3 linked regions of the Schizosaccharomyces pombe genome follow. Changing the gene in region 3 together with the main gene of any one other region gives a genetic interaction. Each region holds a gene or a part of one and is shown on either strand. Other genes may lie near its edges. The genes, in order: SPOM_SPAC694.02, ptl3 and crt10.

Region 1 (13,026 bases), on a different chromosome or scaffold from region 3:
CTTCCAAAATACCAGAACGTGAAAAAGGCAGGAAACAAAGAAAATTAAGATATCCGTATGCCAAACGAGTGGACTCGAAAGGGCAAACAGGATAAACCAAGAGAACCAAGCTACAATTCAGTTGTTGGTCAAATGATGCTGCCAGAGAAAGGATAACACGAAAATATAAGAAAATATTACAAATAATTGGGAAAATACCACTGGAAACTTGGTGGATTCCTTGATTTGCAATTTACCTAGTGGTGTTGTTGTTATACAGTAGGAGTGGTAAACGGGGAAATCCGGTAAATATCTTTATATAAACGTGAGAGATGGCAAAGCTTTTTTAACGGTGATCGGCGTAATGTTACCTAAAACTTTGTTGGTAATCTCAATACGGGGCGAGTAACAATTTTCTCCAGATAACGAATTACAGCTTTGCCGGCCGACCCCGCTTTAGCTAAAATTTTTTTAGGGGAACTAATATAGACTCAATGGAAGGAGCAAATCGACAGAAACAATATAGTCTGTAATGTAAAGAAGTCTACGAAAAAACCAGCAAGACCTTGATGTTCTTTACTTTCTGGATTCGATGTGGTGGAATACGTCAAACGATCGGAATTTGTATTTTGGGACCCCTTTGACCCATTTACCCATTCCCATATGATCGACGAATGATCTGCGTTGAAGTAACAGGATTACTATATCAGATATCTCGATGGAAAAATGCATTAACCGTTATAAGGATATATTGCCGTTAAACCGCTATAGCGACGGTAGTGGCAAATGCTGGGGATTACTGGGCTGTGAAATATCGAGTGTAGTAGGACAGACTGGAGTAAAGAGATTATTATTGGGATCAATTACTAAGTTTGTATACTGTTCTATGAGGTTATTTTCATTGTATACTATTGTACAATATTTTAAGTCATTGCGTTGTCTACGAAATGGGCGGACAGAAGTGCGCCTGTATACACATTACAAGAGACATCTTCCCCGTTCAGTGAATTCCATCTATTTACAAACAAATTGTTGAACGATTATTCACAATTTAGAAATGGCCGATCGGCCCAACAGCGATTCCGAGCCCGGTGTTTTCAAGTGCCATGCTTCATTTTTCTGCATGGGAGTATATCGCTGTGTAAGAATCCATCACAATAGCAAATGGACATGCGATCCAACGACGATGGGGCGGCAGTGTATTGATCACACATCGCCAGAAAAACTCATCTCTCGCTAACGTAAGCAGATAAAACAATGTCCTCAATTCACTAATGACTATTCTTTAGCGAGAGTTGCGCTAGATTGCCTAACACTTGGCGTACAATAGGCGGATTACCAATGGATATCCCATCGTATGGCCAACATTGGGCTCACAATTCAATTTAAAGGATCGTAAGGAATTGCAACATAGTACAGGAATAAGCAACGTACTTGAAGCTATCGTACAGTATCACCCGTATAACAAATGCTACTGAACGATCGATCAGCGAGGCAAGAAAGTGGATTGAAAACTTGACTTGAAATCGATGAAAAGGCTTATTCAAAATAAAAAAATTTTTTTTACGATTTACATATGAGTCAAACGCATATCAAGTACTTACTTCCGTCTTTTCGTTAACATTGCATACTTCTTGGGTTAGCTCCTATATTAACGCATTGTTTACCAATCTCAGTACCAGTTTGTTAATCCATGTTAAATCCTTTCATTATAATTAATACCTATTTTCCAGCTCAAGGTCCATTCTTTATTTTATTTTATTTTATTTATTTTATTTTTATTTTACTATTATTATTATTATTTTTAATTTTACGAAATTCATATAAAAACTTTATGCACTCTTGTAAATTCACAATTCCGATTAATTCACATTTAAGTTCGATTAATTCGCAATTCATGTATAGTTAGGCATATTGCAGGCATATACCATATACACAAAGAACCAAAAAGTCGCTGTAAAAGTCCACTGCTGGATAATCCTTCTTGCAACTGTCAGTCACATAACGGTGTGTCACTTTGGGTGGATAAGGATTACAGTATAGAGAGGGGGCGATCATTAGTCAGTAAATGTATTTTTACATCCATGAATGGACCCTTGAAACGGGATTTGCATTGTCTTCTGTCAAGTGATACCGCATATCACGTGCAATGAAATCCATGATCTATATTTCGGCATTTGTTTTCTCAGCTGGCAATCGCAGCCTGCCAGTATTACGAGTTGAGTAGGGGTTTCCATGATTCCCTACGTAGAGAGAGAGTATCGCACATATACATTAAGGTAATAATTTGTATGAAATGAGTCGAGTTGTCGAAACCAAATTACAAATAGAAATTTAATGGTCAGATATCTAATATCTAATTGATTACATGTATTGTTTGTTAATTCATTTTAATATAAGCAATTAAAAAATTAACGCTTTGAATTTTTGCTAAGAATATATTGTTTTTGGTATTCGGATTTGTAGGATTACATTAAAAGTGTCAGCTAGCTATATTGTCCCAACACAACAAGACAGCAAAAATATTTTGCTTTTTACTCTTCTCTTTTCTATTATTTCTTTAATTTTTTCAATTTATTATAAAATATTAATTATTTTTCATACACATCAACTTCAAAATTCGCATATGTAATCGAAAACGTACCAAAAGCTGATTATCTGTTACAGTTACTATACCATGGCTTGCCTTCTGGTCTAGTCCAATTCCTTTCCCCGTTTACCTTTCCAAAACCCTTTTAAAACGTAACCAACTTTTTCACAGGTTTCACTGGTCTTTTCTTAGTAGGCGCTGCAACCGTTTTGGCGTATTCATGATATACGTCTTCATCAGCTCCAGTGGTACCAGCGACACCAACAACATGGCCAAAGGAAACATCATCCTTGTTCACTTGATCACAATCCTTTGCTAAATGATGTACAGAGGAACAAAATTTACAACAACCACCTTTGGGGTACAACCCTTTGGGGTTCTGTTCACATTGTCCCGACAAGTGACCATTTTCATGGCAAATGAAGCATTTAGCAAACTTCAATGGTCCTTTTTTAGAGCAGGCATTTAGAGAATGCTCTTTGCTACCACAACGAAAACATATTGAAACATTATCCTTAGCCTCTGGGCAGTCTTGTACAATGTGTCCCTGTTGCCGGCAGGCAAAGCAAAATTTGTCTCTATTTCTTTGGTTGATTCTTCGAAGTCTTCGATACTCAGAGCGCTTCTTTTTCTGACGCTCATCATATCTTTTCGACGAACCAAAAGATGCTTTCATATTATCTTGAGAAGATGATTCTTCATTTGTATTGGAGGAATTCTTGGGTTGTTCCAAAACTTTTGACTCGTATGGCGTAGCTTCGAGGAATCGTTTCCTTTTACCCATGTTTGTTATTCGTGCCATTTTTTTTAATTCTTATGCCAATGAACGATTACACCAAAGAAATGCCAGAAAAGAGTATTTTCTATAATTAAAATTGTTTAAAAAATGAATCCAACAAGGAAATAGACTTTTAGAATTATACAATCCACAGACAATTCTAATTGAAAAGTTTTCCTAAATCTCTAGCCTTTCTGTACCTGAAGACGAACACTTTCACCAAATATAAATTATACTGGTACGCATGTACTAAAATGAAATATTCACTTCTTTAAAAAGTCGAACAGTCCTCTCTATTTGGTTTATGGTAGAAGGTTTGTTGTGTCTTTCAGTTATAAAAAAATTTCCTAAATTTCTACACTTAAGCCATTAGGTTTAAGGTGTGATTGTTAAGCGAGCAAGCGAAATTTTTATAATTACGATGTTAAGTGATGCATTTTCATGTGTATAATAAAATACATTGTTGCTACATGTTTCTGCTTTTGACTAATATGTCAATGGCGGACAAGACATGCAGGGACAAGCAGCATGGAGTTCTTTGGACTTGTGTTTGAGCCTTTTAGAAACCTTTGATCATTCAGATAATACGGGTGTACCAATGACCACCATTTCCTTCTTTTTTTAGTGAAATAATTGAAATCAAATTATCGTCGCGATCACGTCCTTTATGCTGTGCATCCGAAAATGAAAACCCCAAGCCTATTAAATTGCTACTACACTACTAGTATGCATTAGCAAACAAGTTGTTAACTGTTGATACATTTTGGTTTGTGTACATTTCAATCAAGCAACTTATTTCGCCGATGACTTAGGATTTTTATTGAATTTTTGGATCTATGTAGCGACAGTATATATGATGCCAATTACAGCGCACCATATATTCCAACAAATTGCGTTTGGGTGAAGAGTCAAATAGAAGACAAACACACTATAGGACTAGGAAATCTGTTTTGGCTAAAGTTGGCAAATATGTGATAGTCTTTTGAGTCATTTGGACCAAATGCAAACTATCGTAAGTAGATCATCATCTACTTATTCGTTTCATTCTAGAATCTTTGATTTAGAAGCGATATCTAATATTGGTTTATAGTTGGTTGCCGCATTGCACAAATTGAGCTAAAGGATGCACCCGTTCCAATTGAAATTTATAACATCCGGAATTATCCTTTGCATTTCTCCAATTTTGAAGGATTCACATGTTGCATCTTCTGAAAAGAAAGGAGAAAAGAGATATCAACCGTAGAGAAACAGATGCGGATGATTTGATATTGTAAACTAAATAAAAATGCTTTCACGCATAGTGTATACTTTAAACTCACCTAGACAGTAACGTGGATTAGGATAGTCCAATTACAATTTCTGTTATATCTTCACATGCATATGTTTTAACGCCTACTGTTAAAAGTAGGATTCTGTCTTAAAAAATCAAAAACCCGATTGAAGAGATATTTCTTTACTTCGATTTGTACAGTCACTTTCAATGGATAAAATTTTGACTAAAAGAGAAATCTTTTTATTAATCAATCAGTTATGACTCCGTAGGTGACATATTAATGTGAAATGAAAAATTTCCATGCTACGTAGACCTCCACAGCAAGCAGGAAGTTTGATTGTAGTAGCTCATAACGACTCTTTATTAATTATATACTTTGAATGTTTTTTATCTAAATAACCTTTAACAATGAGAACACGCATCAAGATGATTTACCGTTCATTTATACTTGAAAATCGTTTATTTAACAATTAGAGTAATTTTACATCGTAAAGAAATTATCTGTTGCGTAAAAGTTGTGTTAACAGTACGGTGTTATAAATTTAAAGGACCTCATAATACCAATTCCTTAGTAGAAAGCAGGTCTCTGTGCAGTAAACTTCTTCCATCACCGCCAAATTATGAGCGAGGAGATAGCCAAATTAACGACGGTTCAGAACTATCGTCTAGTAGACTTAATCGGTGATTTTGCTGGAGAGGAACTTTTTCTTATCGATGGAGATTCCTTGATTTTCCATATTTTGGCAAAAGATTCTCAATTTTTAGCCAAGAATGGTGTTCAAATTTTATATGCTATTTACCTTTTGGAGAAGGAATTAGCGCGATTTAAGAGTGCTAGACTAAATTTTTGTATAGTATTCTTTAAAAATTGGGAAGCTTTATACTCCCAATACGATGGGATTTTGCATGCGTCGTTACTCCTCTTTCGTAGAGTGGCTATCCGCCATCTTCGCAAGCATGTCCCTGTATATGTTTTCAAATCTTTAGGAGATTCTCAATGGAGCATATTTATTGCAAAGCATCGTCCATATGGATTTATGGTTCTTGATAGCAACCAAAATACAAAGGAAGGGGGTTTAGTTATATCAGATGAGCAAGTGATGGTATTTAAATCATTCATTTTCTTTGCTCTTTCTGATGGTGTACCTGTCGCTCTTTTGGGCTCTTACCAATTTGTAGACAATAAAATCTTAGTCTGTATATTGCCTTCATTCTTTACACGATCCAGTGAATCTGTTGAAAACGCTTCTAATCTCATCTCTGATTATTTAAAGAAGTTTGGCAAGCCTCGTCAGTCTATTGAACTACCCGATATTGCTGTCGATGCTTGTCCTTCAAACGCGTCACGCATCCAAACCCTTTCTGCAGCGTGGTTGCTGTTGAATGAAAAATCAGATCTTAATGTCGATCTCTGCAAAATTCTCATCATCTTAACCTGCATGCTTGAAGAATTAAGCTTGAACGATCGCTTCCAACCTGCCTTCCCTCTTTATGAGGATCCTGCAATTCAGAAATTTATTATTAGCTATCTGAATGCTACAAATACAATCCTTCAGCTGTTGGATTCCAAAGTAGATGGATTCCATGATATTTTCGACGGTCGCCTCTTTATCCGACTTGTTGTTGATGCTGCGTTGGGCGAATTTTGTATTCCTGATATTTGTCGAGAATCCGCTCTTTCTTTATGGAAGCTTATTTTAGATATTGCTCCCGATGCAGGTGACTTGTTTGATTTTCCTAGCCTTTCTTCAATTTCCAAGGATCTGTGTGTACCCATTGAAACTCCTGTAAGCGAAATTGATATATCTTTGACTGCCTACAATGATCCCGTTATCTCCCCTTATTATGATACAGAGGAGTGGAATCTTGAACAAAGGGAGGAACCTGGCATTGAAACTGTTTTGGACTTCTCAAAACTTCGAATCAATGACAAAACCATGACATCCAAGCGCTTCGATGATTTGAGTGCCACTCGCAAAACCGGTGATAATACTAAAGACCGCAAACAGGCGAATAAAGTACGTAGACAAGATCAGTTCTTTATTAGTCATATTCAAAAATATGCAAGCTCTTTGACTGGTGCTAAAGGTGGTCAACTGAAACGTCAAACCATTTTTACGCAAGGCCCCAACTCTACAAAGGAGTCAAAGCAGGCAGTCAAAGAAGAAACTAGTGTCAAAAATTCACCTAAAGGGAAAAACACGAAAAACGGTAAGGCTGAGAAGGAAAAGCCTGGAAAAAAGAGTAAAGCTCCTAAATTATCCAAAGCCGAGCAAATTCGCGCTGAAATTGCAGCACGAAAAGTTGAGAAAGAAGAGAATAAAAACGAGGTTATTTGGAATGAAACTAAAAATGATTTGGGTCGTATTAAAGATTTAAACCTTCGTGCTGGCCGTCTTGCTCAGCTTTTGAATACAAGAACGTATGACCCGTATATCGAGAACGAAATGCGTCTATATCGCATTCGTGTATTACTTTCTTTATGGACCGCGTGCTGTGTAACCGATGAAGGAAAAGAGAAGAACATTAAGATTGCTGTCGAAATTTTCCGCGAAATAAGTATCGTTTATCCAAATCCTATTACGAAGCAAGTGAAAGCAGCTCTGGACGAAACACTTACTGCGTTAGGATTTGAAAACGTAATTAGAAAAATGAAAAAATTAGAGTCGAAGCCTCTTTCGTTTCCATTTGTGTTACCTGATTTGGAGGATGAAGAATTTGACCTTGAGGTTCCCTATACTTCTCCTACGTTCCAACTTCTCCATTTTGGTGAATACATGGAGAGGTCGATGGGTAGTGCTCCTGATAGCCGTGTTGCATTCGATCCGGATGAATGGCAACGTGAAACTCTTGACATACTGGATCGCGATGAGTCTGTATTTGTTGTAGCTCCAACATCTTCTGGTAAAACCTTTATTTCGTTTTATGCGATGGAAAAAGTTTTACGTGACAATGATGATGGAGTCGTTATTTATGTTGCACCTACTAAAGCATTAGTCAATCAACTTTCTGCGGAAGTTTATGCTCGTTTCAACAAGCATTATCCTCATGCTGGTCAAACTGTTTGGTCTGTTTATACTCGTGACTACCGTATTAATAACCCCACAAATTGTCAAGTTCTTATTACTGTTCCCCACGTGCTTCAAAGCATGTTGTTGCAACCAGCTTTGGCCAATGCATGGTGCCCTAAGATTAGGCGCATCATTTTTGATGAAATTCACTGTATTGGTCAAATGGAAGATGGACTAGTTGAAGAACAGCTATTGTTATTAGCTCCTTGTCCCATTGTTGCCCTATCAGCTACGGTCGGTAACCCACAGGAATTTCAAGTATGGCTTTCTGCTTTGCAAAGGGCTCACTCTTATCCAATTCATTTGATTGTTCATGAGCATCGTTATTCTGATCTTCGTAAGTTTGTATATGGAGGTGCCAAGGAATTTAATGGTTTGCAAGAAGAAGGCGACCTCGGACAAATTGCATTTATTCATCCTGCTGCCGCCATGTCTTTCTCTGATGGATCTACAACGAATCTTGCATTCGAACCACGCGATTGCTTACAGCTGTACTATGCAATGAAGTTAGTTTCCAAGGGTGATTTCAAAATTAGTAGAAAGCTTGATCCTGACAGGTACTTTGAGGACATCCCCTTTATTAAGAAGGTTGATGCCGTCGGTTACGAGAAGAAGATTAAGGCTACAATTGACACTTGGGCGTCTTTGCCTAATGCCTTTGCCCCTAACTCACCATTCCAAGCTCTTATTAAGCACTTTTGTAGTGAGCCACAAAAGGTTGTTAATAGTCAATTAGAACTGCATAACTCTGCCTATTCTTTAGATGCCATATCCCAAAACCTTTTGCCAATGTTAAAGGATCTTCATAGTAAGGAGCTACTTCCTGCTATCTGTTTTAACTATGATCGTCAGGAATGTGAATACCTTGCTGAAATCGTTTTTAAGACATTGGTTGAGAAGGAGAGAGAGTGGCGTGAAAATTCCGAGGAGTGGAAAGAGAAAATGCGTGAATATAAAAAATGGCAATCCACTGCTAACCAAAGAGCCAAACAGATGGAAAAATTTGAGAAGAGTGCTACTGAGAAACAAAAAGAACAAGCGTTAAAAGAAGCCGGTGATATCAGTTGGATTGAGTTTTTCGACCCTGAGGAGCCTTCTCCCGAGTTTTCTTTTGCTGGTGCGAAGTCAACCTATGGTAAAGAAGAACTTTATCGAGATTTAGAAGCCTTGCGTAGACGTCAAGCTGTTCCTGAATGGTATGTTGATGCTTTATACCGTGGTATTGGTATTCATCATTCTGGTCTTAACAGACGTTACCGTCAAATCGTCGAAGTTTTGTTTAGATGTGGTCAGCTTACAGTTGTAATTGCTACTCGTACACTCTCTCTTGGTATCAACATGCCATGCCGAACTGTGGTATTTTTGGGAGATAGTTTACAGCTTAACGCCTTGAATTTCCATCAAGCCGCTGGTCGTGCTGGTCGTCGTGGTTTTGATCTTCTAGGTCATGTCGGTTTCTTGGGCGTACCTTTGCACAAAATCTATCGTCTTTTGACTACAAAGCTATGGGATATCCAGGGTCAATTTCCTCTTACTACTTCTTTGGTTTTGCAGCTATCTCAGCTTATTTCTGGGTCTCAAGCAGGCCCTTTTGCCCGTGATACCATTCATGCGCTCATGGACGAGCCAAAATTTATGGCTAATGGATCCATTTTGAGCAATCAAGTTAACCATCATCTTCGCTTTGTCATTGAGTACCTTCGTCGTGAAGGACTGTTAGATGTTTATGGTAACCCTATAAATCTTGCTTCACTAACCATGCATTTATATTACACTGAACCAAGCAATTATGCATTCATGAATCTTTTGAAAGCTGGTGTATTCCATAAAATTGCTGAGAAGTTTGCTACTGAGAAATTCGAAGCCATGCGTGACACCGTCGTAATCTTGTGTCATCTTTTTGGTCGTATTCGCATGAACGAGCAATACGTTATGACATTGGAAGGAAGCACGGATCTTGCACAGTCTACAGTTGTTTTACCTCCTCTTCCAACGGAAATTGCCGATGTTTTAGATGCCCATGATCAGCGAGTACTTGACCTTTACAAGACTTACGCTTGGTACTATCAAAAGCATGGTAATATTGGTGTGGCAGCAAATAAGCTTCCATTATCGAATACCACCATTGAGGGTTCAGCCAAATTACCCTCTTCATTATCCGTAGGCGTAATGTCCGAATTTTGTGGGTTAGCAGGATATAACGAGAGCATGGTCGGTACTACCTCAAGCTTCTTGGACAAAGTTCCAGATGGCATTTTCTTGAAGACTTCTAGACTTCCAATATTTGAAGCCAACAAGGCCCCTTATAATGCTTATTTACTCGATTTCTTTACTCATGGAAGTGTCGATATGCTGATTGAACAAAATAATTTGAAGCAGTCTGAAATTTGGTTTGTACTTAATGATTTCAGTTTGGTCCTTGCTACCATCTGCAGTTGCCTTGGCAATCTATTAAATCTCGTAACTGATGAAGATATTGAAAATGCTATGAGTGCACTTGAAGGCTCCAACGCTGTTCAAGCCACCACTGAAAGCGAGGCCACCGGAGCTGACTGGATGCAAAACATGAATGGTAATTATTCAACTACCTTGGCCTCTCCTGAATTGGAGGAGAAAATGGACATGAATCTTTTCAAGGTATACTGCATGTTTTTGGAAGTACGTAATCAATTTGACGCTAAATTCAGAAAGATGTGGGCATAAATTTTGCGCTGTTGCTTTTACTTTTTAGTTGATGTTGTATGGCTTTATTCTGTTTTTTCTTTGAAAATTAGAGAATTGATTGAGCGTCATAGAATGTTTTTTTGGAGTTATAGCACGTCTTCTTGAGATCTTGGATGTTCAATAAAAAACATATTTAAGAAAAAAAAATAAATGGTATTTTTTTAGTGTGATGAATGTTAAAAAAGGTTTTATTTAATTTTTATTTTAAGTGTCAAATAAATTTGTTGTGAATTTAATTTCCTTATGTATTTAGAAATATATTAAACATAATAAGTGTTATTATTGGATTAAAAGGTCAATCAAGCAATCCTGGTACTGTAGCATATACATACGATCAGTAACATTGGCGAGCCAACTTTTCGGGTATAAACCCAGAAACTTCTGCTTATTACTATAGGTAGAAATATGGATCAAGCTAAAAAATATGCCAATTTGTTAGACAGTTTTCGATCATCAACGGAAGATATTTTACTGCTCGAAAGACTTGAAGTTAGTGATAAACCGATATATGGTAAGTTAGGATGAATTGAGTGCGGATCCCGATATTCAAAGCTAACAAAGTTGTTATCTTATTTAGTGCTTGACAGCTCTTTCAATCCTCCCCATTTTGCCCATCTGGGCATGTGCTTATCAATTCCTAAAGGTAGTCAACTTTTGTTATTGTTAAGTATTACAAATGCTGACAAGCCTGTTGCACCTGCGGCTTTCAATGAGCGAATTTTGATGATGGAAAAATTAAAAACACTAATCCATAATTGCACTGTTTCCGTCGCTATTTGCAAGCACGCATTATTCGTCGACAAGTGTCGTAGTATATCAAATAAATTGGGGCCTCGAGAACAAGTATACTTAGTAGGTTTTGACACCTTAATAAGGATATTAGATTGCAAGTACTATAAAGAAAAGGCAATGCAACAAGTATTACAACCTTTTTTTTCCTGTTCTCAAATTCTTTGCTTTTCAAGAGAAGTAGATGGTACTACCACGGATGACCAAGCGCAATATCTTGAGAAAATCAAGAAATCTCTTTTGCCAAACATTCCAAGTCAATGGTCGGAAAAAATTAAACTTACTAAATTAAAAGGGAATGTCGGTTTTGGTGTCAGCAGTACGAGAGCACGACAAGCGATCATCTCTGGAGACGAAGAAACCCAACGTAAAATCATACCTCAAGAGATTTTAAATGTCATCAAGGTAATCCAACCGTACCGCCATCGCTAACTGGAGAGACTAAAGTTGATATGCTCCTTATATATTATGAATGCTACAAAACCCATTCAAAAGTTTCCAATTGACTAGGCGAATAAGATATTGACAACGCACATGGCCCCATTGCATTATGTATATTGATTTGTACAGACTAATGATAAAATATATACTAGATTTAAAACAATCAGCTGCTATCAAACATAACATATACTGATGTTCATGCTTTTTAATTTTGTGGAAAATCTAAAGCTTTCCTAGCCATTTCCAGAGCACCCTCAAAAGTTTGATTACCACCAATGAAACCGGAAGCATGAACAAAGATGCAACCTGGAATGCCAGTTAACTCAGAAAGCTTTTCATCACGAATTCCTCTCCATGGTTCTGGTAGTGGTAAGCGACAAGTAAAAGAAGTGGGATCAATAGAAACAGCCTGAACTCTCCAAGCTTTCCCATCAGAGTAGATAGCGTATTTAAATTGGTTCTCAATGCCAAGTTCTTTTTCAATATCAAATAAATGACCCTTCCAGGGAAAAAACTGATCTACGATCAAAATAGGAGAATCTTTAGCCTTCAAAATTGCTTCTCGAGCGAGAGTTTTAGCTGGTAACCATGATAAAGCATAATGTTCTACAGATCGAACAAACCATGTACCCATTAAATCCGAGGCCTTTTGAAAACATTCAAGGTAAGTTTGGTCATCTTGCTTTTCCGAATTCCATGCAGGAAGGAAACTTGAAACCATCTCAGGTAGACTCATAGCGGCTTTGAAGCTAGGCTTTAGGCCAGCCGGATAAGCAGAAATTCCATTGTCATTAGCATCAAGACCTTCAACGAATGATTGATAAACTTTTTCATAAAGTGTTTCAAGATCCTGCTCGTTTATTTTCAACTGTGGAAGGACAGCGTGAATAACTTCACGACCAAAATGTTTGTAGATCAAACCGGCACTAGAAAGACGAGTGCTGTATTTGGGTGAAAAAGTATCATTGAATTCACGTTGATGATGGTCAAAATATTTAATACCATCGTACTTTCCTCCAACATCTACAATAATGTCGCATGAGTCTAAAACTTGAGGATCACGGCTGCGCACAATTTGGGCACCGGAGAATCTATCTAAACGGCGAAGCATGTAAACAGCCAAGGCTAAATATTTTAATAATTAGTATAATAGAGCAAGATTTGAAAGAAAGCTATTGTAGGGAGCAACAAGGACAAAGTCATAGGTACAAAATCCAGGACAGATTGATTGTGCATTATGCAAACAAAAATCAAAAAAATTGCATAGTAAAATGAGTAATTGAATGATTAATCTCCTGAATAATAAACAAGAGCTATCAATATAAAACCGCACAAGCCCCTAACTTTTAATCCGCTTAAGGTCCCAATTAATCAGACTTAT
Region 2 (9,863 bases), on a different chromosome or scaffold from region 3:
ACTAAAATGTTGAGAATAGATATGCAAAGATGTATGCAAATTAAATCCCCAAATGAACGTTCAAAGTTGGGAGTGGGACGGAAAGGGTATATAAGAAAAAAAATTTAATAAACGTCACACGAGTGTATTACTTTCCGAATGACACCCAATCAAGATCTCGGACTGATACTATTCCGTAAGTCGGAGAGGAAAAAGTGGTAAAGTAACAAAAACCTAGAATTTGCAAATAGTGGACGAAAACACAAACCCCACAATAGATAGAACTAAAGAAGGCAGGAAAACGGGACTAAAAACAAAATGAAAGAACCTGGCAAACGAAGTTTAATGCAAAGGTTCAAAATGAATAAAATCTTTTCCCTAAAGGATAAATAATAAATATTCAAAAGGAAGATGTAGGAAAGTGCTAAAAGTACAACGATTTAAAAAGTCCACGACGACCTTTTTTTGTTTGAGTGAGTAATAAGAAAGAGAAAATTAAAAAGGAATAACGACGAGAAAACCGGAAATCGCACCAAAGGATACACTAGGAAAGAAAAGTGTGATGATGATACGAGAAATTATGATGAAGGAATGAGGGAATCACTGAAAAAAGAAATTAAGCCAAATCACAGTGTTGGATCGTAAAATATGTTTTTGGATTCAACTAATGCGAAAACGCTCTCTAACCGAAAGAGTGTTAGTGTTTTCTTTTTTGGGGTATTTTTCAAAGAGCTAAGAAAAAGGGAGCAATCACAAGAAAGGAAAATGCAAAATTCCTCGCTTGGATGGATTAAGATTTAAATAAAAGTAAGGAAGATGATTAGGGATTCCAAAAAACGGAATTTTTTGTTTTGAAACAATGAACAGATCAAGGAAAGTTGTTTGATTGCGATGGTGGTGAAAATGCCTGTGCACCAGCACCACTTATATACCTGGGACCAGTCGCTCGGAACAAGGTTTCAGTGCATACAGTCTATAATTTTACATGGATTATACAAAGAAAAATAAAATAAATCATTTTATGTATTTTATTTTCAAGTTTTTGATTCTCATTTTTTTGACTTCAACTTGCATCTACCCCACAATCTTGACAGAATCCATGTCTGGGGCCCCGTGAGTACCGGCAACTGACCCTCTAAAAATTAGGAAGCAACTGCAACATTGGTCCAGAGCTGCGACGATGTATCCAAGCAACTGGAGTAATAGTGGGATAGAGTTATCATCAAAATAACGCTGCCCACAAGAAAGGATGGGATGTTTGTCTACTGGCAAAAGGTACACTGGGGAAAAATACAAACACTCTACTCACCGTTTAAACCCTTCTATACTACCGCTGGTCAGACAAGCTTCTAATTTTTTTACGGATTCTGTTGTAAATTGTTAGAATTCTTGTTTTTTCTTCGTTGTTCGTCAGTTTAACCCCGCCAAAACCCAAAAAAAAGTGTTTGAAACACTATTCTAAAGGTGTTCGCCCCTCACCATTCCGGTAAGAAATCAGGCAAGTATCCGCTCAAAAGTTTGGCGGGGAAGAAGGAAAAGAGCCTAAAGTCGGACGAACAAATGCGGGGTGGTGTAGAGGAACGCAGTCTAGAACAATGGAGGAACACATGCGCAGTGCAAAAATGTCTACCGCAAGAGCAAGAAAATTTTCGCACCAATTATTAGTTAAATGAGGAGCATCACATGAAAAAGTGGGACATATCCAATCACCTCTCAGTATTTTGTTCACTTTGCTCCCCTCGTTTTCCCATAGTGTGGAGAACATTCATGAAAACCAAACCTTCCGCCAATCAAATTACGGTTTGAAAAATTCTACGTTTCTATTCGCCGTCATTCGGAACAAGCGAGCTTCCACCTTTTACGTTGACATCATTGAAAAATGGAGATAATGGGGTTAAGGAAAGTGTGGGGCTAACCTTCCAAGTTACCTTTCCCTCCATGACGTGGAGTACATTTAGGCTCGTAAACTAACGTGCGTACGTTGGACTAGCTATGCTGCACGCTATTTGTCAAAAAAGGATTTGCAGCATGCGAGCGAAAGTCAACGAAGACGTGTATGCGAGGAAACCGGTGTGGAACAGTGTTCTAGGACTATACCTGAACAAAATTGTGGGGCAAGTTTATTTTCGCTTTTGCTAATGCCCTTTTTTTTTGGCAATTGCCTTGAGTAATGGACATTCAGTGTACTTTGTTTTATTTACAAGCTTAGGAAAAGCGAGCTGGTTAGGAGCACTAGTAAACACAAAGCACACTTTTAATTAAGCAATGTTATAAGTAATTAAAGTCTGTATATATTAAATATTTTCAAAGACAACTACTAATTCATTTTCAAATTATCTCTTTTCACATTTCTTTGTAAGAGCATACTGTGCGATGTTTTCGAGGGAAATTTATTGATTCTTTTTACTAGTGAGACTCTATCATTACGAAAAATATATAATAAACATTTCCTTTTTATTAAGTTCACGTATAAATTGTTTCTACTTTTATAATTAGCATCTCGTTTGACAAACAGTAATCATTGAAAACCACACAATACTTCATCTTATATGCAGGTGCGATTGACCACCATCGTAACAGCCAACCCTGCACAGCGAATATGCTCAAAGAAAAATAAGTTAACTTTCTTTTACTTTTTAATTTACTAAGATTATGGATTGCAAGGTTTCTAGCTTGTTGCAATCGGTATGAATAGCCAAAAACTATTAAGAATTCATACAAACCGATCTATTTTCGCCGAATACTATAAACGCTACTGCAGGTAAGTAAAAAAGTAAATAAATGTTATTTCAATAATTGGTCTCTCCTTTATATCTTTTCTTCAAAAAAAACAAAAAAATAAAAAAGAAAGAAAGAAAAGAAGAAAAAAAGCATGAGCCATTATGTTTATTCGTTTTACAAAATGCAATTGCCATTAAATAATATTTATGAATTATTAAGCACGGTAAGAATGAAAAAAACTTTATTGAAGTTAAAAAAAAAAAAAAAAAAACAATACAATAAAATAAAATAAAATATATATGAAAACACTTATAAATTATTAATTATTATTTTTTTTATATAGACAATAAATTTGGTCTATTCAACTTTTTAATTTATATTATTCCAATATCACCGACACATACTATCATTTAACAGACGGTTTGCAAATAGCATGTCTATTTACCAAAGATTCAAAATATCACTATCAAGTCAATAAGTATATCTTGTAAAACCGGGAAAATTCAAAATACTGTTAGCAATCATCAAACCAAAAAAAAAGCAAAACAAGTTGTATTGTAATAAAAAGAATAACACTAAAGAACCAGTTTGGGAACATGAAACTTTTCAATTTTTTATGTACTATGTACAATAGATAACCAATAAATACAAAAAACAAAACAAAACTGAAAACTCGGGGTATTTAAAAATTATTTTAAACTTTTAGACCTTTTTATTAACCGAGTATATGCAGCTGCGATTAAAATCTCTATTGCACAATGGTTCCGAGTAACTGGAACTTTTGTCCATGTTCCACGTTTGCCCCTCGTTGCTGCATCTAAAAGAAATGAAGGAGTTGGATTTTTAATGACTTTATTCACTTCACGGTAATTCAATCTGGGGATAATTGTAATATCTCCAGAATATTTCTGGGTGATTACAGATTGAAGCTTCGTGAATAATACCGAAAAAATGCCTAGTTCTGCAAACAAACGAAATGTCAAGCTAACTTCCTGAGCAGCCAAATCAATTGCCTTCTTACAACAGCGCTCAACCCAATTATGAGATGTTGGATCCATAATAAACGGAACGATGTGAAAGTTGACTTGTGATACGATAAAATGATTAACATGGAACAGCTCCGTTAGTTTAGCATGCGGAATGTCATTATCAACAGATCCGTCCATCCATAACGGAGCATCTGTTACACAAAATGCCGATACTTCTCTTGTTAAAGGGTCTCTTTCCCACAAAGTAGCTCGTTTGAATAAAAAGGGAACAGAGCACGTTGCGACACTAAAAGGGCTTATTAGAATGGCGAACTTAAGGCACTGATAAATAAACTTACACCGCACTCCACACTAAAACATTTGGAGCAGTAATGTAGTTAAGTAAACTGGGCATCTCAAACAGGCTTCCACAAGACACAGTAACATTTAAAATATATCCTGAACGATCATATGCCTCTTGGAAAGTGAAATCTCCAATAAGCAGCTTCATTACCCTTTCCAAATGGCTGATATCCAAGACACAGCCTCTAGTGAAATACTGTTTGACAGACTGTATAACTGATGGTGGTGCTGCATTGGGATCAGTAAAGACACTGAGATCACCTGTATGAAATTGTCTAAGCAAAATCTCCTGCTCTTCTTTATTTCGGACTGCTGCCGCGCACGCAACAATTGCACCAGCAGATGAACCACAGATAATTTTAGGTACCAAACCTTGTTCATGCAAAGACTGTAAAACACCAATATGTGTCATACCAAACGTTCCACCACCACTTAAGATCAATGCTGTATTGCCAGTCGTAAGTTTTAAACGAGAAAATTCAGTAATCTTTTCATCCAACGAAAGATCAGGCGTTTCCTCTAAATACGTCAAGCACATCAAAACCTCTTGAATGAACTCATCTATCAATTTTTTTGTCCCTGAATGTGCATAATTATATAATCTACTATTATCCATATTTGCAAAGTCTCTTGCAACTGAATTTCGTAAAAGTCCAAGCAAAAGTCTCGTATTTTTAGACAATCGATGTCTTCGCAGTTCATGCAGCCGACTCTCGACTAAAACATAGTCGTACTCATCTGACTCCTTTTGCTCTCTCCATTGATATTTTCCTGGTTCCATTAGTAATAAAACCAAGTAAAATCTTACCTTCTATGACATCTAATTTTTCCGCAGCTTCAAGCCATGTTTCATAGCTTGAAGCATATTCCATCTGTAGTTTAATTTCATTTTTAGACATTTACATCGATTATTGACAAAAATTATCCAACGACGTCCTCTAAATGTGAAACTTAACTAGTTGTAGGGAAAGGGAAGATGATCATATGGTAAGGTAAAATATAGTTCGATACATGTGTCTTTCCATATAAAATGTAGGAATTAGAATAAAACAATTTCCTTTAGATATACTGTTAAAAAATAATCTTTCATTAATATCATTATACAATGAAAATGAATCAATCTATCCGTTTCACGTCAATTTCAACTTCCATATTACGACAGACCTTCTACGTTCTTGGAATTTATGATACAATTATACTCAAAGTATTATATTTGTGTAATTATTTTATGTAGAGAACGGCCATTGCGATCGTGGTCTTCCTACTTGATTTTATTTGCTTGTAAAAAAATCCCAACATTGTACTGTTTACTCGCATGAAGGCGGCCAACCTACCCGTTTTATTTTTAAATCATGTTCGGTATGTCATTTTAACGACATTATATATAATATATTTTCAATTTTAATTCAAAAGAGAAGTAAGAAGTAAACACCAGTTTTCTGGGTTCATCCTTTAGTTTGAATTGTTTCGCTGGCAAATGGGTAAAGCTTTCTCTTACTCCACTGTTGGTTGTTCTTTGTTAAAAAAAAATTTGATGAGTTTAGAATAAACTTGTTGATTTCTGAAAACAAAAGAATTTAATACCAACAACTATGTGCAAGGATCAGTCTTTCGTATCCTAGTTTTGAAGGCTCCGTTGTTGAAAATTTCATAAACAATCGTTGAAGGGTTTCGGAATGCACGAGGAAGGAATGTTAATCCAATAGCGTTATTACATTGCTAAGCTGTACAATATCCCCTATGTTCTCGTACTTATTTAACCAAAAAAAGTTCTTTCATGAAAACTAATATCTTATTAATGAAGTACTCACTCCAAGAAAAAAGATAGTCTGCGTAGCTAAGCATGCTGCAAACTATTTTTTTTATTGATACGAATTGTTTTCAAAAAGCTCATAACCTATTGGCGAGCTCTACCATAATGTTAAAATATTTGCGAAAATCACATAGAAAGTAATAAAAATGCTTTGGCAGAGATAGATACATTGAAACTTCAATGCAGGAGGATCTTAATTTGAATTTCATGTTTTTTTGGGAAAAAACCAACAGCTCCTTGAAACGAGACGAGAAGAAGCCTTGAGGTTTGAAAATGATAACCCTTTAATGATAATGAGTTGAATTGTTTATATACAAATTGATTTTTCAGGAAATTCAGAATCACTGGCGAAGGCGACTCCTTTTTCCAAATCAAAGTTGAATTCGGGCTCTGTCCTTTCAGAGGGACGGATGCTAATTATGTTGTTGAACATTAATAAGCATCCACACAGTTGAAAGATACTGTAAACGTTGGATGCGGCGACAATTATAAAGAAAAACTTTTGCGTGTTGAGGCTGCAAGAGATAACGTTTCGTGCATTCAGGATTTCGCATAACATATATGGGTTCATTGAGAAATAGATTATAGTGCAGGACCTTAAGCACATACTGAAGAAGGCATCAATCGTGGACCAGAGGAGTACGAGATGCTCCCAAGATAATTTTTTCTTTACATTAGTTAATTTTAAACTTGCATTCAATCATTTGATGATTCTTACCTTCCAAGCAAAGAAAATGCCAATGGCTCCAAAGAGCATGGTTTCGATTCCCCATATCATTACATTTTTCCATCCTTTAAGCAGGCAATAGAGTAATGAGAGGTTCATGCCGACAATGGCAGCAAAGATAAATAAACATGGCAATTTAATATATTCAATTGACTTTACGAATTTGCCGATTTCACTTATGCACGACATTTTTTTTTCTTAATTATTTAAACTGGTTTTTTTTTGGGTTATTGTAATATGTTAATGCTCAGTTTAGTTTAGCTTGCTCTCAATATATAAGTAATTAAAATGTAAACAAATTTCCATCTAAACAAAGGCACGAAACATAAACAAATGTTTTCATTAGCTGACATTAATTAAAAATAACGCTCATCGACATCCACTGCAGAAAATGGACAAAATCATGAAAACATGAGTGGCCGCTTATGCGAAAATTAAAAAGCCTAGAAATATGAGACTTTGCTGATTATTACTTTATTTTTAAATTGATAGTATACATGATTTAAACCAGCCTTTCCACAAAGCTTGGTCATATTGTTTAAAAGTTCACATTTGCAGAAATTTATTATTTATCTACTTTTCCTAAACATTTGGATATATGTTTATTATGTCTTTGTAAACTATAATTCCAGACATACATAGCAACTTAAATATCCCTTTATAACTTTTTTTTCGAAAAAAAATAAAAAAATAAATAAATGCATTTGTTTACATGCGTATTCGATTTAATCAAAACAAATGAGCGCAGTGATTTCTTTTGTTTTTTTTTTTGGCTATTTTCATTATCTCACGGTAACGTCATATAGCTCACTTCATCAAACAACCTTAAAGCTGTTAAGCGAGAACTGGTACTCTTCAGAAAATAGTTTCATCATTTCTTCTTCCCCTTACAACCTCACCAACACCTTCATCTGTTAAGGCCTCATTAATACTTACAAAAAGGTGTTTATGAAGAAGTTTATTTGATAGATAATGAGCCATGCTTCAAAGAATTATAACGCGCAGTTAACTGCTGCTGCTGCGTCCACCGCACTTCACGGAACGAAAAAAATTTACAATAGTAATGAAAATGATAGAGCCGTAAACTCGTTTTTGGGAAATAGAACTTCTTATGGAGAGGCAGTCAATGGCTCACCTCAATATGATTACATGCGCTCTCGGATGTCTACGTTAGGAAGTGCCAATCAACCGATGGCTCCTCCTAGTCTGCGAAATCGTAGTTCTGTGTATTTGCCTACACCAGCAGGCCCTCCCCAAATTCCTGTAAATACTGGAAAGCGCTATACGCTTACTTCTTCCTCAGCAAATTATATGACAAAGTCAGAAAGGCAGATGAGGCCTCCAAAGTCCTATGACTTTCCACCATCTCAACAAGTTAGGCCGAGTACCTCGCGCTCACCATCTTACGCTTCTTATAATTCAGAGGAAGTTAATTTTCAATCTTATCAGGATCCTCGATTGCTTCCTCGTACTTCTCAAATGTACATGCCAGATAACAACTATTCTCCTGCAGTAAAAAGCCCTGCTGCTCAAAGAAGATCCAGCAGTTATATGGTACCTGCTAATTCTCGTGGGTCACCTGCTAATTATAATACTCCTTATTATCCTACTGCAATCCCTCCCCCAATCGAAGAATATAGTCCTTCCGTTAGCCTTCCCACATCTCCAGTTGCTGAAGAATCGTATAACAATGTTCAACGTTCTTCTACTGTTAGAAATAATACCACTCAAAAGTCGGTACTCAAAAAACCAAGCAGAAAAATGTCACCTGCTTATACATCTAGCTACAGACAAAATAGTCCTTCATCTCAAGTTCCCCCAGTTAGCAAAAAACACGTCATTATTTATGAGAACAAGGAAGGATCGTCTTCCTCTGAATCTGTTTACGAAGACGTCTTTGAAGATTTTGATCCCTCGGGGTCAAATCAGGCGTCTTTGAGGTCGACGTCGACTATCCATTACACTCCTTCGTCTAAAAGAATATCTGTTATTCCGCCTAATACTAGTAACATTGGTTCACGAGTAGTTAGCAGGTCTGGGCAGAATAACAACCAACCTGCCCAACCTGGACAGTACAATCAGCAGTCGCAACCTGTACAGTCCTATCAATCAGGGCAATCTACCCAACATTTTCAACCGGTTCAACCTATACAGCCAGTACAATCAACTCAATACTACCAACCCAGCTCACCGGTGCAGCCCGTTCAGAATGGCGTACCAGCTCCACCTATGCAGCCAGTTCAATCAACGCAGTATTATCAGCCAAGTTCGCCAGTACAACCTGTACAGAATGTTAAACCCGCTCAACCAGCACAACCTTCATTAGAAGACGCTGCCAAAAGACGTGTCGAGGAAATGTTACGTCAAATGGACATTACACCTACCGCTTCTAGCACCACTGCTAACAATGCCTATGCTTCTGCAGAACCTCACCCTAGTGCTTTCCCTGATGACATGAATTCTGTTTTCTCAGATAGCAGCTTTGAACGTGAGCGTGATAGTGGTAGGGGAAGAAGCACGAATCTATTTTCCAAGTTTAAATCCGGTCGCTCTAGGTCAAAAGCTTCTGGTGAAGCCCCTTACAGTTATCCTGCACCTCCTGTTCCCTCTGTCAATAATGCTGGGGCTCGTCTTACTTTACGCGATAGTGGTGCCGCTCCTGAAGCAACTTATAGTCTTCGACAACCATCCAATCACGCGTACTCCGAGGGACGTTCCTATACATTTACAGGAGGGCAGCCACCGTCTGTGCCAACAATGCCTTATGGAAGTAGGTTTGCAAACGACAGTGATAGTATGATGGGCAGTACTGCTGACTTTTCGTCGAAAAAGAAGGGCGGTAAATTTAAAGCATTTAAGAAATTTTTTAAAATGCGTTTCTGAAGTAATAATGCCTAAATACTGAAATTTTCGTCAATAAATTTCCCGAAAATCTCAGCTAACTATTATTCATCTCATTTCACCTACTGTTTCTACTCGTTTTTTCTTGGAAAAACATACGCGCCTAGATATTATTTATAGTATTTACCTAAATTATACTCCGCTCCTTTTCAAGACACGAAAATGGTACGGGAGTTGCCATTTAACCATATTTATCTTTAATATATACTTTTTGACCTGTTAGATCATATAATACTAGAAAGAGTAGTGATTTGCTTTATTAATGTTATTTCTTAACGAAGAAATAGAAACGGTTTGTTGCTTGTTCGATGGTCTGTATCCGCAAGATTTTCAAGATACTTAGTAGATTCAGTTAACTCCTGCAGCGAAGGTTCCTTGTCTTCCCAATCCA
Region 3 (9,851 bases):
ATTCAATTTTTACATTAGACTTACGATTCCTAGCAGCCTGTTCACTTAATTCTTCAGTAGGCGAGTCTACAACTGCATTGTCTTGAATTCGTTGTAAAACAGCGTCTGAAGAAGAGAAAGCCTCTACGTAAAGGCAATTAACTTTTTTTGAAATATGGTAAAACAGTTGGACTGCTAACTGAATAAAATTATCCATATACGGGAATAAGTCATCATAGGATTGAGAGACAAATTTAAGAACAGGATCTTCTGTTTCAAATGAATGAGCAGGTCCCTTCACTGAATTGTAAAACTCATGCAGATCTGCAACGAGTCGTTGCTGCAAAGTAAAGCGACGTAAAAGCTCTCTTTCAGATAACAATTGTTCAACCGCTAGAGTTCTCTTCGTTTTATTTTGGAAAACATTGGCAGCCTCTGTAACACTGTAAGGTATTGTAAGCTTCTCCAAGTTAGGGGTAAAGCAAAATGGTAAATTTTGGTTAGTTTGAAATTGTTCCCTTCGAGCGGACATTTTGCTGGTTTTTGCAGTATTCACCAAAAGTGATGGATTTTCGGGTGAGCAAAGTCGGGTACTAGATATAAAGGATGATTTATGAAAAGAGTCTGTATTGAGAGTAGGTAGTATGTGTGCTTGTTCACGATCAAGTGGTACAGGGTAATAAGAATCAGCAAAAGAAGAAAACTTAGTAGCCATTTCATGACGAAAAACTTCGTAGTCTAATGCTGTGGTTTTTGGCTTTTGCTGAGACGTAGAGATGTTTAAAACTTCGGCCAACCCAGCCTTTTTTTCCTGTAAATAAGACTGAGATCCCCAAAGACGAATGCAAACTTTAAAAATCAAAAAGGATAATTTTTTTAGAGATGAATGAATAACCTTATCGAGGTTCAACTGATAATCGCTGGTTATGTCAATAAATAGTTTTACTAATGTAGGCAATACCGGGGGATTTAATGATCGGATAGAATGAATCCACGTTTTATCAGTATTGTTGAGAGTCAAAAAAAAGAACATTAGAGATAATAGTAAATTAAGAAAACCTTCGTCTCTACTGTTATCCAGAAAGCTGTGTTTACGGGTACGATTCCATTCGATAAAAAGAGAATAAACAGTCTTAGGAATATCAAACTCTCGCAGCAGATAAACGTTTTCTGAAATACTATGGACGTGTTCTTCAAAACTGCCAACGGAATCGTAAGCACCAGCTGCTATGTACAGGATCGAGTAAAGAGCGCTGTTGCGCAGCAATTCACCCGAAGAGAGTTCGTGATGGCAATGAAGGATAAAATTGCGCTTCTGGTCCAAACTCATGGAAGACCAATTTTGTTTGAGGCTCCAGTGACGGACAGTTTGATAAACTCTTAACTTTGAGTAGAATATTTTATTAGCGGAAAGAAACAATTCTTCTTCGCAATCGAAAAAACTATTCAAATCGTCCTCCAAATCATCTTTAGAAGTTCCTTTGAATTCCATAGGTTTGTGTTTAGACGCTGGGGAATCAATAAGTTTCTTTAGTCTTTGGAATTGACTGAAAGAAATACAACTAGCCGTTGTAGCAGCCATACTTTATTGCCCGTCTAAACTAAATCTCCAAAGCTTTTGAAGGCTTTCGTTGTTGATTTTATGGGAAATGCCGTCGAAGTTGTTATGAATAGGGTTCCTAATGGGTGTAATACAAGAACTCACAACCACATCAAATGAACATTAATGTGCCCTTGACGTTTTTAAGCAAATTGTTTGCTAAAAAAGAATATTTATAAAATAATGCAAAGAGACCTAACAGTTGATGAATTCCTAAACTATCTATATGTACTGCTTTGTTTACAAAATTCGATTGTCTTTTACTGATATATCATTTTAGATTAATGTTAAAGAATTATTCACATTGAAAGAGAAATCCTTTCATTTTTGGAGAAATTCACTGATTTCATGTAGTAAAACGAAGAATTTTCTGTTTGTGGTTGTAGGCGGTATGTTATGCTATGTTATATTACAAGAGTTCTCCCTTTATCATTTCTTTTAAGTAATTATAAAAGCTAATACGTAACATAGATGAAGTTCTTGTTTATGACTTAAAGGAGATCTCATCAGATGCTTCAGAACCTGAACCTTGCTTTTATTTGCATTGTCCTCATGAAGCATCTTCCTCGCGGCAAGGAGATATCAATCAAGACATGCCAAATGTCATCAACAATGTTCGTTGTGAATTAATTGGAGATTTGGAGTATTTTATTACCGCCAATGATTGTGGAAAAGTAGCGATATACGATGTTCAAAAGTTAAATCGAGAGCCTATAATTTATGATGTTCAGCATTCAGCTTGGGGACTAGCAGTTTCACCTCTTAGGATCCTTGGCATATCTTCCAATTCTCACAATGTTAATTTGTACGCTCATTCAATAATACCGATCTTCTAATTGTAATTCAGATTTCATCTGTCGCCTGAATTTAAACGATTTAAAGAGGATTACCATTCTCCTTGGTTTAGACAAGAGACATTAGTACTGGAAGGACATGAACATAATAGTATGCGGTTACGAATACTTTACATTGTCTAATGATTTTAGTACCGTGTATAACATTTAATTCTTCAGGAACATTATTACTGAGTGGATCTATTGATCGATCACTTCAGATATGGGATATAACTTCATTAAGTTGCCTTTGCAAGTTTTATACAAAGTTAAGGTTGTAATAAAAAGCTGAATTTCGAAAACTAATTACTAACTTTCTAGTATTTGGGGAGTTAAGTTCATTGATAAAAATGCGTTCTATCATATTTCCATCCTAAAGCACAAACCGGGATCTCTTATTCCGGCGCAACAATTTGGCCAAAGCCCTTGGAAGCCACCCATCATGTCCAGTTCAGCTTTCTTATTATCGCATGAAGAAGATTTCGATGACGACGCGGTTTTTGAAGGTGAATACTATGTTCATATACAGGATGAACTTCCGGTAAGGCTCCTTGTAAACGAGTTATTTAAAATACATTTTAATTAACATACTTAGAAGACGAAGGTAAAAAATTATTTTCGTACTTATCTGCGGCAGAAACCTGAAGAACTATTCATTTTTACTACGAAATTTTCAATAGTTTTATGTGCTTACATGGGAAATTCACAAATATTTCCTTTGGTGAGCAGTAAAAATTGCTTTGAGGAACCCATTACCCCCAGGTTTCAAGCTTTACATAGAATCAATATGATAGAATGTATTCCCGAATTACAGTCAGTTGTTTGTGCCAGTCAGAGTGGTCAATTAACATTGCTTCGCTTGATTTGTACAACAAAAATTCTCAATGGAAATCCAATTTATGTTTACTCATTTGTTCCCCATAAAATTCGCCTCACTCATTTGGTGGATGCTCCTTTATTGGGAATGAGTGTTTGCCCATTGTATCCTGGAGAAGAAAATCCTTTTAAAAGATTTAAAATAATGGTAAGCATCTATAAGATTATGTTTTTAGCTAACTGGTGATTTCACAGCTTACTGTTTATACCGGAAAAGTTATTTCTGTAGAAGTTCAGCTCTCGGAAAATTTATACGACACTAGTCATATAGGAAACATACCTCTTTGACGATTCACGGAAATTACACTTTCAAGTTTTTACTTTTTTCTTCCGTGTTAATGTTTGTTGATGTTTTTACGTACACATGTATATTACCCTTTGGGATGTTTGTCAGTTTATTTCTATTAAGTTATTACAATTACAACAAAGGAGAAAAGTTAACATTTTTAAAAATAAAACTAGTAAATATATAGCATCAATCGACAGAGTTAGGTTGCCGTAAGAATCATCTCGTAAAAGCAAGTTGATCTTACTAGTTAAATTTGTTGCGAAAGCTTTTATTTAAAAATTAAAAATTCACTCTTGGTAAATTTCCATAACCAATTATCAGTCACTTTAAGCCTATTTCCATCTTCTTTGGTGAATGCATTACAATGTTTACATGTCTTAAACCTCACCACGGAACTTGTTCTTGCGATTTACCTTCTTCAATCGTTTAAGTAATATATCAAAGAGAAGGAGTATTCATGGAGGAAAAAAGGGTAAAATGTAAAAAAAAACTTACCAGTACCATTGGAACTTGGAAATATATTCAAGCTTGCATCTTTTTCGCGATTATACTAATTTCGAATTTTTACGGCTTGAAATCGTTCACCGACGGGTTCCTTTTACGAAGAGCTGTTTTAAACCAAACGTCTTTATGCGAAAACCCGCCTGCCGATGTGCGCGAATGGAAAAATTCATCAGGTTGTTGGGCTCCCAAAATATTTGAACGGGCCGTTATTGTCATCATAGATGCTCTCCGTTATGACTTTTTAATACCTTATAATGATAGCAATTATTACCATAATGCATTCACGACTCCATACGAAACTTCTGTCCTTCATCCAGAAAACTCTTACTTAACACAATTCATAGCAGATGCCCCAACTACTACATCTCAAAGATTGAAAGGTCTCACTACTGGTTCGTTACCAACTTTTATTGATCTTGGTTCTAACTTCGCTGGAACAAATATTGATGAGGATAATCTGCTTCTCCAATGGAAATCATTAGATAAACAAATCGTATTGCTAGGTGATGATACTTGGGACGTATTGTTCCATGATTATTTGAATGAGACACTCTCTCAACCTGCTTTTTCTTTCAATGTACCTGATCTTCATGGAGTAGATAATAAGGTTAATCAATATGTATTCGATTATATAAAAGATGCCAACTTTGATGTCCTAATAGCACACTACTTGGGCGTTGACCACGTTGGTCACCGCTTGGGACCTGATCATCCAACAATGCGAGATAAACTGAATCAAATGGACAGGTGTGTGAAAGAAATGATGGATCTACTGGATGATAGTACATTACTCATTGTCATGGGAGATCATGGTATGGACAACAAAGGAAATCACGGTGGTGATTCATTCGATGAAATTAACTCTGTACTGTGGATGTATAGCAAAAAGCCAACCTTTGGCTATTTGAAACAACCAGGTAAAGTACTAAGTGCAAATCAGGTAGATCTAGTTCCTACCTTAAGTTTGCTCTTAGGAAATCCCATTCCGTATGGCAACCTTGGTACCTTAATTCCAGAACCTTTTTACTACTATGGAGATGAATATTTGTCGAAAGCCCAAAAGATTAATATCGGTCAACTCAATCGCTTCTTTAGCGAGTATGATTTAGATGCTTCTGACTTCCTTTCGTCCTCTGTCCATAAAAATAATAACTCTTATTTAGATCAATACTTTTTAGACTTTGACTATGCAAGAGACGCATTCTCTTACTTTAAAGCAATTTGGGCGGAGTTTAGTCTTTTCCCTATGATCATTGGATTTTTACTTCTTATTATAGGTGGATTTAACTTGGCTTTGTTGATGCAAGATAAGTCGGTGATTTTTAGGATGTCTGCCAATATGGCTCCATCAGTCATGAAATGTTTGCCGGTTTGCTTAATTTTAATTTTGGCAAACAACGAACTTCATTCTCCGTTCCCGGCGGAATTCTATGTATTACTTCCTTCATTTTACATCCTGTTAAATTCCTTTAATCAGAAGTTGATGGAGTACTTTAAAGGTTTTGTCAAGTTGGACTACTTTAGTATTTTTATAACTTTTCTACACGTTTGCAGTTTTGGTTCCAACTCTTTTACAGTATGGGAAGATCGCCTTTGTCACTTCTTGATCATCACTATTGGACTAGTTATGTTTTGCAAATGCTTTTCCGAAATGAGCCCCCTTTTTGCATGCTCTACTTACTCTGCATTGGCATTTATCCTTTTACAGGTAATTTCTTCGTACGTAACTAACTGTCGCGAAGAGCAAGGTGCGTTTTGTGTTAGCACGTACATCTCAACTCCTGATAACAGCCTCAGAACCTTGATTGTTTTGGCGTTAATGGCTCTTTCTTCTATTATATTGCCTCTCATTCTGCAACTTCACTTGCGACGCGTTCTTGGCCTTTCTTTAAAACTTTATCATCTTTCAATCCTCTATTTTTTCGAGTTAATATCTTCAATATTTTGGATTGCTCATCATGTTTTCGCGAATGATGCTTTATTAGAAAAGCAGTATCATCATGTTTTATACTCACTTGCAAATACTTACGTAATTTGCATTCTTGGTGTTTTGATATGGCAATTCTTCTTACTGTCGCGATCCAAGTTTGCTAAAATAAATGTCATCGAAAGATCATATTTCGTTTTTGCATTACTATATTCTTTTCTCTCATTTTTGCAAAGGCCCCTGGGACATCTCTCTTTATTTTCTTGCTTTTTACAAATCCTGCTTCTTATTCAACTTAAACAATGGCAGCCAAGTGTTGGTCACAACTTCTTTTCGGTAACGCTAGGTTTATTGGGATTGTCGCATTTTTTTACAACGGGAAATCAGGCTGCTATATCGTCTCTTGATTGGAATTTTGCATTCATTCATTCAAAATCTGCTGAAAACCAGGCTATAAGCGCTATATTCATGTTTTTGCATACGGTCGGTGCGCCGATACTTACTTGCATTTCGATTCCACTATTTTCATTCGAACCACTTTCCAAGAAAAATAGATTCTTGATAAACTTGTTTCGATTCTCCTTTTCTTTCATTCTTTATAACCTATTGATCTCGACGAGTACTGTCTTCTTTGCTGGATTTTTTCGTCGCCATTTGATGGTTTGGAAAGTGTTTGCACCTCGGTTTATGCTAAGTGGAATATTACTTGTTACTCATCAGCTCTTTGTCCTGATCCAATGCTTCGGAAGTTCTGTTGTCAAATTTCCTGAAGATGCTGAATAACAATAAAGCTTCACTGCCCTCGTTCAATTTGACGTATAATTAGAATTGTAGAAATATTTTCTTTTATATCCTTTAACATTTTAAACCTTATAAGGAAATAATCAAAACCACTTATCAATGCATTTTCATCATTATTATTTTCTATGGGTACACCCATACTACTCCTTTACGCCTTCTGATATGTACATTTAACATTCACCACAATCATCGTACCCAATTTTTAACAAAAATTAATTATGTCTGTTAATAAGTTGCTTAATTTATAATCAAAATTTGGTAGCTTGACAAAATGTTCTCTTTGCTACGAAAAGCTATAGATGTTAATCGATCCCGAATTACCTTGCATGGGATTAAAGTGCATAGTATCAATACTTTTCGTTTAATTCCTTATTCTTTATCCTTAACGAAGCAAATTCGATTTTATGCATCAGAAGGGACAGATGCAGGTGAAATGGAAAAGGGTCTTTCAGTAGTAAATGCCAATCACGAAAATCGTCCTTTCAGAGACCTTGAAGGATATCACTTCAACACATTTACATTTTTGAAAACTTTAATGGATAAAGGATATACAGAAAAAGAGGCCGAGGGTCTTCTCGAAGTCACGAATATGTTTGTTACTGATATGCTGCGACATAGTCATCTCAATTACCTGTCTGAAGCTGATTTTGAAAATGTACGTATGATTTATTAAGCTACAGAATCCTTCCGTCTTTAAATTTATCTTTAATTATAGATTGACGGTTTTTTTTGCTTTCAAATGAACTGTCATAGCTAACTTGTATAGTGCTCCTATTTGTTTCGTACAGCTTTGTCGGAGCTTCGCTCAGAGAAAATAAATATGAGAAAAGATCAAATCAGTTCGTTACGTTCAGGCTTGTTTTCAAACCAAAGGGAAGTAGAAAGTTTGGAACAATTGGTTCACGAGCAGTTAAACAAGCTTAATACCGAAAGCAAAATGGAGTTTGAAAATCGGAAAAATGATACAAAGAATGAAGTCCAGCAATTGAGTGCAAGAATTGTTGAACTACACAATTTATTAGCCGTTTCGTTAGGTAAATTGAGGGCTGAAAATGAGAGGCAGAAATGGGACCAAATAAGAAAAGCAGCAGGTAAGTATATTTATAGTTCAAACTAGGTATTTGAAATTTCATTTATTAATTTCCTTTTCTTTTTCAGGTGTGGTGATGGCTTTTACAGGGTTTTTAGTGCTGGTTATTCCATTTGGACTTGGAGTACGAAGCAGAAAAAAAGAAAAACAAGATGAGCTTGATAATTTAGGTTCATTTAATTTAGATAACAAGCGCGATGATTATACTGATACTAATCTCTCCCATATGTGAGTTATGGCCAGCAAAGCATTTCGAGCTCTTCATTAATATCTGTCCTTTCTTTTTTTTTGTGTTTTCTTCTTTGTTTATGAAAATGTTCAATTAGGTTTTATGGAAATATGCAAATATTAAGTTTTATTAGTACTCCTTCTGATCATGAGACCCCTTGTTCTTATTGTACATGGAAATACCATTATGAATAGCATAATAATTGTTTGCATTGCAGATGCTCATACTAGCGTTGAGCTGTGATTTTTGCCTTCTCAGACAAAATTTTTGTCCATTTCAAAACTAAATCTATAAATGACTTTTCGTTGTTTTATTTAATTTTAAAATTAACGATACTCGGAATGGCTATTGCATTCTAGTAGTCTCCTACAATTTAAAACATCTTTGTGTTCGTGGTTGATAAGTAAAGTGGTTAATTATAATGATAATAATAAATATATTATCTATAGACTATTTGATTATTAATTTATTGTAAATCGTGTAAATGTCGACTGCAGATTTCAGTACCTCGCAACTCAATGTATATAGATTTAGCCTAGGGAAATTGGTTTGGCCGCTCCACATATGTCGTTAGCATCATTGCCGCTCGAAAAGTTGACGAAAGTAGCTGATGTAGATAAGAGGGAGACCATATATATTGATTTACTCAATTACGAAAAACAATTGAGGAATCTGAACAAAAATACTCGCGAGGATTCATTACAAACTAATTTAAATCCCCTACTTTCGTTAATCAAAAAATATGGAAATTTTATTGCTTATCCAACTAGAAAACTTCTTTCTAACTGTATAATTGCACTCTTAAAAGGACGTATGTGAGATTTATGGAAAATGGTATATGTTAACAAGTATTAGTCGAGGGTTATCATCAGCATCGAGTTTTACTTTACTTCGTGGATAGCATTCATGAGAAAAAAGACTATATAGAGATTATGTATGTCTAGAATATTTGAAATATCAACTAACCGGTAGTAACGTTTTATCCGTTCTGACTTCTTGCTTGGAAGAATATGGAAATCAGGTATTACTCTTTTGGATATTTTCTATAAACTTATAATTAACCTTAATAGATCAATCAGCAAGAGACTTTTATAAGATTTTTCTTCAAATATTCGAAAACCAATTTGTCATATGGAGTTCGCTCAATCGCATTAGATGGACTGTCGAAATGCATTGAAACATCTATTCAGTCTACGAATGAAGATTTGATAAAAGAAATATGGAAATGTATTAAATCAAATTTAAACACTTCATCAACGAATGTTCTTTTATCTGCACTTCGTTGCGCTTACTACATTCTGGGCTCTTCACGTCTTCGTAATTCAGAATTGGAATGGTTCAAATCTTTTCTATTTAAAAAATCATCAATTGATAATTCTTTGCTCCATTCTTCTTTAGGAAGATGCTTTTCTGCACTTGCAAGTGCTCAAGCTGACAAATCGATTGAAGCCGCTGCAAACGCAGTACCCTCAACTCCAGCGGATGATGAGAACAATGAGGAAGTAGAAAATCGGTCTACTACTCGCCGTTTTGATGAAACTGAGAGTTTTCGTCACGCCCTACGGATTCTTGTCGAAAATTATCACTCCAAGCATGCAAAGTATGAAAGCTCAAAAGCGGTTCTTGTTTTTGCCGTTAAGCATCTTTTTCTAATGCAACGTCCATCCTTTGTTTCTCTCAACTACACTACTATAGTGGATATTATTCTATTACACCAATCACA

The links.
Region 1: mutations in crt10 (region 3) and SPOM_SPAC694.02 together harm fitness more than expected from each alone (negative genetic interaction), as found in Schizosaccharomyces pombe (one large-scale study listed by BioGRID).
Region 2: mutations in crt10 (region 3) and ptl3 together harm fitness more than expected from each alone (negative genetic interaction), as found in Schizosaccharomyces pombe (one large-scale study listed by BioGRID).

The regions. Positions count from the first base shown.
Region 1 is NC_003424.3:4,194,945-4,207,970, forward strand, and holds SPOM_SPAC694.02 (DDL60-like DEAD/DEAH box helicase ), read left to right. Parts: upstream 1-5,226; 5' UTR 5,227-5,240; coding exon 5,241-10,394; 3' UTR 10,395-10,668; downstream 10,669-13,026. Other genes in the region: SPOM_SPAC683.03 (uncharacterized protein), read left to right, coding at 698-1,015; SPOM_SPAC683.02C (zf-CCHC type zinc finger protein ), read right to left, coding at 2,715-3,371; SPOM_SPAC694.03 (nicotinamide-nucleotide adenylyltransferase), read left to right, coding at 10,821-10,926, 10,993-11,636; SPOM_SPAC694.04C (uncharacterized protein), read right to left, coding at 11,851-12,770.
Region 2 is NC_003424.3:1,076,632-1,086,494, forward strand, and holds ptl3 (triacylglycerol lipase), read right to left. Parts: upstream 4,995-9,863; 5' UTR 4,931-4,994; coding exon 4,840-4,930; exon of another isoform or gene 4,803-4,839; coding exon 4,028-4,802; exon of another isoform or gene 3,976-4,027; coding exon 3,390-3,975; 3' UTR 3,004-3,389; downstream 1-3,003. Other genes in the region: protein meu31, read right to left, coding at 6,152-6,511, 6,563-6,760; protein sle1, read left to right, coding at 7,544-9,454; protein mug125, read right to left, coding at 9,745-9,863. UniProt on the Schizosaccharomyces pombe protein: Lipid particle-localized triacylglycerol (TAG) lipase. The lipid droplet/particle is a lipid storage compartment which serves as a depot of energy and building blocks for membrane lipid biosynthesis.
Region 3 is NC_003423.3:1,327,032-1,336,882, forward strand, and holds crt10 (WD repeat protein Crt10, involved in ribosomal RNA decay), read left to right. Parts: upstream 1-1,684; 5' UTR 1,685-1,762; coding exon 1,763-1,807; intron 1,808-1,859; coding exon 1,860-1,968; intron 1,969-2,014; exon of another isoform or gene 2,015-2,050; coding exon 2,051-2,384; exon of another isoform or gene 2,385-2,426; coding exon 2,427-2,524; exon of another isoform or gene 2,525-2,565; coding exon 2,566-2,686; exon of another isoform or gene 2,687-2,729; intron 2,730-2,733; coding exon 2,734-2,953; intron 2,954-3,007; coding exon 3,008-3,436; intron 3,437-3,483; coding exon 3,484-3,576; 3' UTR 3,577-3,784; downstream 3,785-9,851. Other genes in the region: FAR complex subunit Csc2, read right to left, coding at 1-1,561; gpi13 (pig-O family ethanolamine phosphate transferase), read left to right, coding at 4,035-6,791; SPOM_SPBC27B12.07 (uncharacterized protein), read left to right, coding at 7,081-7,464, 7,576-7,900, 7,968-8,131; Pof6-interacting protein Sip1 AP-1 accessory protein, read left to right, coding at 8,693-8,939, 8,984-9,062, 9,101-9,149, 9,199-9,851.